Danio rerio: one gene and its partner. The protein of the gene in region 1 purifies or fractionates together with the protein of each later gene. This does not show direct contact. Links are inferred from orthologs where the notes say so. Each region holds a gene or a part of one and is shown in the gene's direction. Other genes may lie near its edges.

Region 1 (4,160 bases):
TGAGTACACAGACGTACACAGAGTACGCAGAAAATGTCCTCTTGATGGACAAAGTATAACTTACAAAATAAACAAAGAAAACATCAGATTTTCAATGACAATTTAAAAAAATATATATTATTTATACAGATTATAAATACATAATATATCAAATACACAAACGAAACAAGAGAGAAATATACTAAGTTGGTAACAAATATATTCCAATATTTTAAATAATACAAATATTTAAGAGTCACTACAGATAATGGATTGTGCTGAGCTATTGAGAAACAACTACTAAACAATAAACTATAGAGTTTAACGCGAAACTAAAACAACATATACATATACAATTAGTCAATTCAATATTTTTAACCTTATTTTCTTCTCCCTTAAGTAAATGTAGATCGAGCTAAGTAATATAATTGCCAATGTTGACAACAAGATAAGCTAGGCTAGCTAATAGCCATGCCACATTACGTTACAAAAGCTCAGCTTACATACAGTTAAGTCGTATTAAAATGAACAGTTTTTCACTAGAATTGTGTACTCTTAAAGATAAACAGAAATATAATCATAAATGTAATAAAAATGGCTAAATCACTCACCGCCGAGCGTCTCTTTAAACAACAACAGACACACTGACCGTGCAAAAGCCTGCGCGGTACGTCACACACACCTTGTGTACTACGTCGAAAACTACGCTTCAAATGTGATCTATTACATATATCTATGATCTATTAATGCGTCAATAGCATTACATTTCAATATCAGCGGAGCCTTGGTATATTTAATAAGAAATTAAATGGAATAGCTGTACTTTTTAATGTAATAAAGCGTTTAAATGAAACTCTAAGGGTAAATGCTGATTGAAACCGGTATAAAGACCATGGTCGAAAGTTTTTGTCATCAAAGGACTTTTTGAGAGCTAAAGTGGGAGTATGCCGATTATCTTTTGATCTTTTGCTACTTTGTTTATTTCTGATCGAGCACCTGCTTTTGAAATTTTTAGATGTGCGCACATTTCTGTTTTTTTTTTTTTTTTTGCTTTGAAACCGGTGTATTATTATTGCACATAACGTCTTAACAACTTTTAATAGTAGTATGCATTATATAAAGTTTAAATAAAGCATTATATAAAATTGTGTGAATCTGCCTTTCTGTAGTGTCTCCCCAAGCCACAGGAGGCATTACATAGAATCAGCGCGCCATTTTATCTGCGTCATTCTGTTTCCGGATTTGCGCCGCCATTGAAACAACAGCAGCCAACGTGAGATTTTCGTTGCCGCGCCAATAACTATTACACTTAATATCACATTTTGTCACTTTTTATAATAACATCCGGATATTATTGAGAAGAATGGCGTACAGAGGACAAGGACAGAAGGTTCAAAAGGTCATGGTGCAGCCCATCGTATCCTTTCAGGCCAAATAGCTGCATTGAGCTCTCGCCATTGTACCGATATGTGTTGGATGTGTGCTGTTATATGTATAATGTAATATACTTTGACATATTATTGTATAATATAATATAGTTTAGCATATTATTGTAGGTAATATAAGTTGTGTTAGCTAACATTTTGAATACTAAATACTTTTAGCAATGTTTGAGCTGATTATAACAGTGTCCCTGCGTTACAAATGAATGAAAAAGGTTATGAATCGTGTTTATATGTCATTTGTTTCCTTAACGAGTCTTTCAGAACCTTATTTTCAGGTATCTACAGAATGTAAGTACTTGTTTTTCAATCTGCGACATACACAAGCTTTTATCTGTCCACATATGTCTATTTTTTCATGTGTTTATTGTATTTTTGTAGAGTAAAATCTTTATTCTGTTATACCTGCTGATTTATAGATGTCTTGATAAATATCAAAAGTGGTAGTTCTCTCAGAAATGAAAATATTGTAAGCATTGAGGTAAAGTTTGTTAAATTATATTCACACATTCTGAATTTCACGTTCAATAAAATACAGGTCATGGAAAACCTGAAAAAGTCATGGAATTTTGACACAGCATTTTGCAGGCCTGGAAAAGTTTTGTAAAAACAGGGAAATCCACAGAATTTTGGAAAAGTCAGAGAAATTAGTTGAAAAAATATCTGTACACTTGATTTAGCGCGATATTGAAAAGATCTGACTTTACAATATTTTGTATTTCTGTGATCTATATTGCGATGTGAAAACTATTTCACCTGGTGATTTAAATAGAGGTAAAGTTGGTTTTATATTCTGATATTCAGACTTTCCCCTTAATAATATAATTACAGAAAAGTATTCTTTGCAAATTGTAAATGGGGAAATCATATGAGCAGCAAATGACTATCAAAGTACATTGTTCACAGTGAATTAGATAGTGTTAATGTTGTTTAGAACTCATACGTGCATGCTAATTCTGAATATTTAAGGTAACATGGTAAACAATAAAGAGACTGCAGTGCTAAATGAATGAATGTGTAAATATAAAACCAACTTTACCTATTTGATTCAACAGGTATATTTGGATTGATTGGGGGAATTTTGTAGAGGAGTGAATCTTGAATAATACATAACAGATCAATTACAAGCATAGATAAATAAAATATAGTAAAGATAAAATATAATTATAGTTTTCAGATAATCAACACTGCAGAGTCTTCACTGTATATTATTTAATCTTTATTAGAGTTACAAAACATTTCTTGTGGCCGGATGTTTTGAAATTTGAAATATTGAAATGTTCACACAGTCACAAGCCTTATAGGGACAGTTTACTTAAAGATTAAAATGTACTCACTATTTACTCACCCAACCGTTTACTCCATTATGATTAAACTCGAAATTAAACTATTATCTAATATATATAATTTAATATAATTTTAGGGTCAAATATCGACACGCCCAAACATTGGGTTAAAAAGTGACATTTAAATTTCATTAGATAAAAGGTTTTGTCCATATTTGACCCAATTTTGGGTTCCGACAATCCAGCATTTTTTTTTTTTTTTTTTTTTTTTTTTTTTATACAATGTTTTTTAAAAATTGTTTTGTTTAAACCACTTGGCACAAAATCTAAATGAGCAGTTGGTAATAATTTTCCTGCTTCTTTGCAGCGTTCCCGAATCTCGGTGTGGCTGTACGAACAGGTCAACATGCGGATAGAGGGTTGCATCATCGTGAGTAAAGTCTCCGATTTACCAATAACACTAGAGCTGGGAATCTGGGCTGCTTGATCAATTGAAATGAAAACTCAATCCTACCTTTTCAGGTTAGCTAAATCCTAATTCACAACTGACAAAATGCGCATAAAAATCGCCTTCAATTTATTGCCCAGCCCTACTGGGATTCTTTAATTAAATCAATGCATTGAATCAATAAATCAATATTCAACTGCAATTCATTATAAAGTGATGAGTATTTATTTAATATAGCAGAAGACGATATTATTAGCCCTCCTGTGAAAATGTGAGTTCTTTTTGTTGAACAGAAAACTGGGAAATCTTCTCGATATGTCATGTATGTTTTTTTCCTCTGGAAGATGTACATTTATTTTACTTTGGAAGGAAGTAAAGCAATTTTGACCTTTTAAAAATAATCTCAAAAGTTAATATTATTAGCCCCCTTAAGAAATATTTACATTTTTGATTGGCTTCAGAACAAACCTCTGTTCTCCAATGATTCCCTGATTACGAATGCTTTATAATCATTGCTTATGAATGCTAATTACCCTTAAGCTGAATGCTTGTATCTTTTAAAAATAATATAGCAAAAACAAAAGAAATTAGTAATTAATACTTGTTTAAAAATGTGCTGGAACAATCTCTCTGCTAATCAGCACTTGGGAATTATAATTATTATTTTTATAAATATGCCATCATCGGTGTATAATATTTACTCCTTTTATCAGTACAATATACACTCACAAGCCACTTTATTAGGTACACCTGTCCAACTGCTCGTTAAGGCAAATTTCTAATCTGCCAATCACATGGCAGCAACTCAATGGCTGTTTCTCAATTCCAAGAATGCAGAGATTGGACTTGCGTTCTTGTGGAGACCAGTCTTGCCAGTTTTCCTTGGAAGAACAAACTCGGGAGACCACGAGAACAGGGAACGCATCCAGTGGGAAATGGGATGCTGCGTTCTTCCTGATGGTCACGTGACCTTCACTCGTTTTAATTTAAAATTTAAACATTACA
Region 2 (3,662 bases), on another chromosome or scaffold:
TTTTGGGCATATGCTGTGTAAAACATATGCTGAATAAGTCGGTAGTTCATTCCACTGTAGCGACCCCAGATTAATAAAGGGACTAAGCCGAAAAGAAAATGAATTAATCAGTGAGTTTTAGTATTGAATTGACCCAAAGAATGCATCTTTCAAAATATATATACAGATTTAAAATAGATATTTAATACATTAAATTTTTGTAAAATCTTTTTAATCTTTTACTTTTTTGTGGGGTAATTTTAAATAAATGTAGCAATAATAATCCCAAGAGCAGGTGTGGAATGCGGTTCTACACGTTATTTCAAGCAACTTGAATAACAGAATTTGGGTGTGGTGTGTCAGAGCAGCAGTGAATCAAGCTCACATACAATAATTTCAAAATTAAATATACTGTTACAATACTCATCCAAGTGCTATTTGATTTAAATGTATGCTGTTGTCCATACGTTTGGGACTTTTCCCACATTTCTCTTTTGTTTTTATGCTCACCACAATACTTAGTTGAACATACCTACACTGTCAAACCCAACAGTCAACTTTATGAAATGAGTGTAGTTCACTCAAAATTGACAAAGTTAATTCTACTCATTTGAAAAGTTTTGAACTGTGTTGAAGGTATTGAGTTAATTAAATAGCTCATTATTTCATCTTAAATGGAGTAAGTTCACAGTACTCGTATAGATTGTTTTTTTTTGTTTGTTTGTTTTAACTCAAGGGGTTTGTAGCAATCAATTTCCTCGAATAGTTTGAGTTTTCTTAACTTTTTGGGTTTTACAGTGTAGATAATACCATAGTTATAAATTATTATATTATTCTAAATATTTTTAATGTAATTTATTCCTGTGACATGAAGCAGATATTTCAGCTTTGTTACTCCAGCATCTGTCACATGATCCTTCTTAAATCATTCTAATATGTTTGCTGTTTACAATATTATTAGTATGATTATTATTACTGTTGTTGTTATTATTATTATTATTATTATTATTATTATTTTCATAAATTTTCCTTCAGCTTAGTCTCTTATCTATCAGGGGTCGCCACAGCGGAATGAACCAGCAACTATTACGGCTTATGTTTTACACAGTGGACGACCTTTCAGCCACAACCCAATACTGGGAAACACACACACACACACACACACACACACACACACACACACTCTTACATTGACACATTCTTATACACTAAGCCAAAGGCCAATTTCATTCATTTATTTTCTTGACGGCTTAGTCCCTTTATCAATCCGGGGTCGCCACAGCGGAATGAACCGCCAACTTATCCAGCAAGTTTTTACGCAGCGGATGTCCTTCCAGCCACAACCCATCTCTGGGAAAACATCTAGACACACACACTCATACACTACGGACAATTTAGCCTACCCCATTCACCTGTACCGCATGTCTTTGGACTGTGGGTGAAACCGGAGCACTCGGAGGAAACCCACACAAAGTCAGCGATAACATGCAAACTCCACACAGAAATGCCAACTGAGCCGAGGTTCGAACCAGCGACCTTCTTGCTGTGGGGCGACAGCACTACCTACTGCGCCACTGCCTCGCCACTAAGGCCAATTTAGTTTATGCAATTCACCTATAGAGCATGTTTTTGGACATGTCGTCTATATATGCTAAATAGTTAGTTTTTGTGCTAAATAGTATAAATATTGTACATGTAATGCTTGAATAATGTTAATCTAATATGTTTGCAATACCAGTCAAAGGTTGGCAAACATAACCATTTCAACTGTTTGAAAAGTCTCTTCTGTTTACCACAGCTGCGTTTATTTAGTAATTAGATTTAAAAATACAACAAAAACAGTAAAACTGTGGAATATTGTATTTGTTACATGAAGTTGAAGTCAGAATTATAAGCCCCTTTTTTTCTCTCTCTTTTTTCAATATTTACCAAATGATGTTTAACAGAGCAAGGAAACTTTCACAGTATGTCTGATAATATTTTTTTTCTTCTGGAGAAAGACTTATTTGTTTTATTTCAGCTAGGATAAAAGCAGTTTTGAATTAAATAAAAAACATTTTAAGGTCAATATAATTAGTCCCTTTAAGCTTTTTTTTCAATAATCAACAGAACAAACCATTGATACACAATAACTTGCCTAATTACCCTTACCTAGTTAGCCTAATTAACCTAGTTAAGCCTTTAAATGTCACTTTAAGCTGTATAGAAGTGTCTTATATATCTAGTCAAATATTATTTTCTTTCATCATGGCAAAGACAAAATAGGTCAGTTATTAGAGATGAGTTTATTAAAACTATTAGGTTTGGATATGTAAAAAAAAATCTTTTCTCCATTAAACAGAAATTGGGGAAAAAATAAACGGGGCTAATAATTCTGACTTCCACTGTAAATGTTATTATGTTCACCTATAAAGTAGATTTGAATGTTAATATGTATAATACATATTCATGTAATTTCCAGCATCGTTACTCAAGTCAAGTCATTTGTATATGCGTATGTCTTCATTAAAAATAATATTTGCCAACACTGCTTTTTTTTGCCACATTTATATGTCTTGTTCTAAGCTGTTGGAGTCTGTTTTCTAGGATCAAAGTCAAATGCTGTTCTTTGAAACTGTGCGCAACCAAAATTGATTCATTTAATTGTTTCACTCTTGCAGCAAAAGCTTGATGAGGAATATAAAGAGAAGCTGATCGAAAACCAAAAGGCTGCTGAGGACAGAACAGCAAAACGCAGAAAGAAGAGGTTTGATTCTTGGTTGACTTCAGATATTCTAGTCTTTCTGGAGAATCTGTTGCGTTTCTTAATCTCAGTTGTTCTTTTGTGTTATTTAGAGAAAAGTTGAAACAAAAGAAGTTGATGGCCAAGAAAGCCAAGATGGAGAGCCAGAAAGAAGAAGGTGAGAGACAATTCAGCCACAGCCCCTTGTTCATATTCAGTTTAGAGTTAAATCATTTGTTTGTTTATGTCTACCCAAAAGCAGAAAAGCATTTACTTATATATAAGTGGATTAACACTCATGTTAGCAAACACATCTTTTATAATGTTTTATAATGGTGTTTAACACTCGGTGTGTTTGAATTAGGGGTGCTCTAACATTTTGTATGAAGTGCAGGAAACTAAATATCACTGAGACCCATGGGCTGATAGTAAATAAACCCTACTACACTCACTGGCCACTTTAATAGATACACCTTACTAGTACTGAGTTTGACCCCCTTTTGCCTTCAGAACTGCTGTAATCCTTCTTGGCATAGATTCAACAAAGTACTGGTAATATTTGTGAGATTTTTGTCCATATTGGTCCATGACGGCATCACACAGTTGCTGCAGATTTGTTGGCTGCACATCCATGATGCAAATCTCCCGTTTCACCACATCCCAAAGGTGCTCTATTGGATTGAGCTCAGGTGACTGTGGAGGCCATTTGAGTACAGTGAACTAAACATTAAACGGAAACAAAGAATGAATATTCTACAAACTCGCGTAAACCCCTCAATCATAATATTGTTTAATTTTATATAAGGACATTATTTAGATTACTGATGTCTATATGAGCAATATTACATGAGTAGCAGTACTGTTTATCAACCTTAATGTCCTAACAGTGACAATATACAGTCATATAGCACTGCTACGAGTGCGTTAATGCGTTTAAACAACAGTTCGACAGCACAATTGG

Evidence for each region. The genes of interacting proteins can lie anywhere in the genome.
Region 2: the proteins of snrpe (region 1) and prkrip1 purify together in Homo sapiens (co-immunoprecipitation; 3 studies listed by BioGRID and IntAct, counting the BioPlex papers as one, with this or other methods). This does not show direct contact. The link is inferred for Danio rerio from reciprocal best matches to the Homo sapiens genes SNRPE and PRKRIP1.

What each region holds. Positions count from the first base shown.
Region 1 is NC_133186.1:40,122,964-40,127,123, forward strand, and holds the start of snrpe (small nuclear ribonucleoprotein E), read left to right. Parts: upstream 1-1,220; 5' UTR 1,221-1,342; coding exon 1,343-1,396; intron 1,397-1,685; coding exon 1,686-1,712; intron 1,713-3,074; coding exon 3,075-3,137; intron 3,138-4,160. UniProt on the Homo sapiens protein: Plays a role in pre-mRNA splicing as a core component of the spliceosomal U1, U2, U4 and U5 small nuclear ribonucleoproteins (snRNPs), the building blocks of the spliceosome.
Region 2 is NC_133180.1:65,105,484-65,109,145, forward strand, and holds part of prkrip1 (PRKR-interacting protein 1 homolog), read left to right. Parts: intron 1-2,639; coding exon 2,640-2,725; intron 2,726-2,814; coding exon 2,815-2,879; intron 2,880-3,662.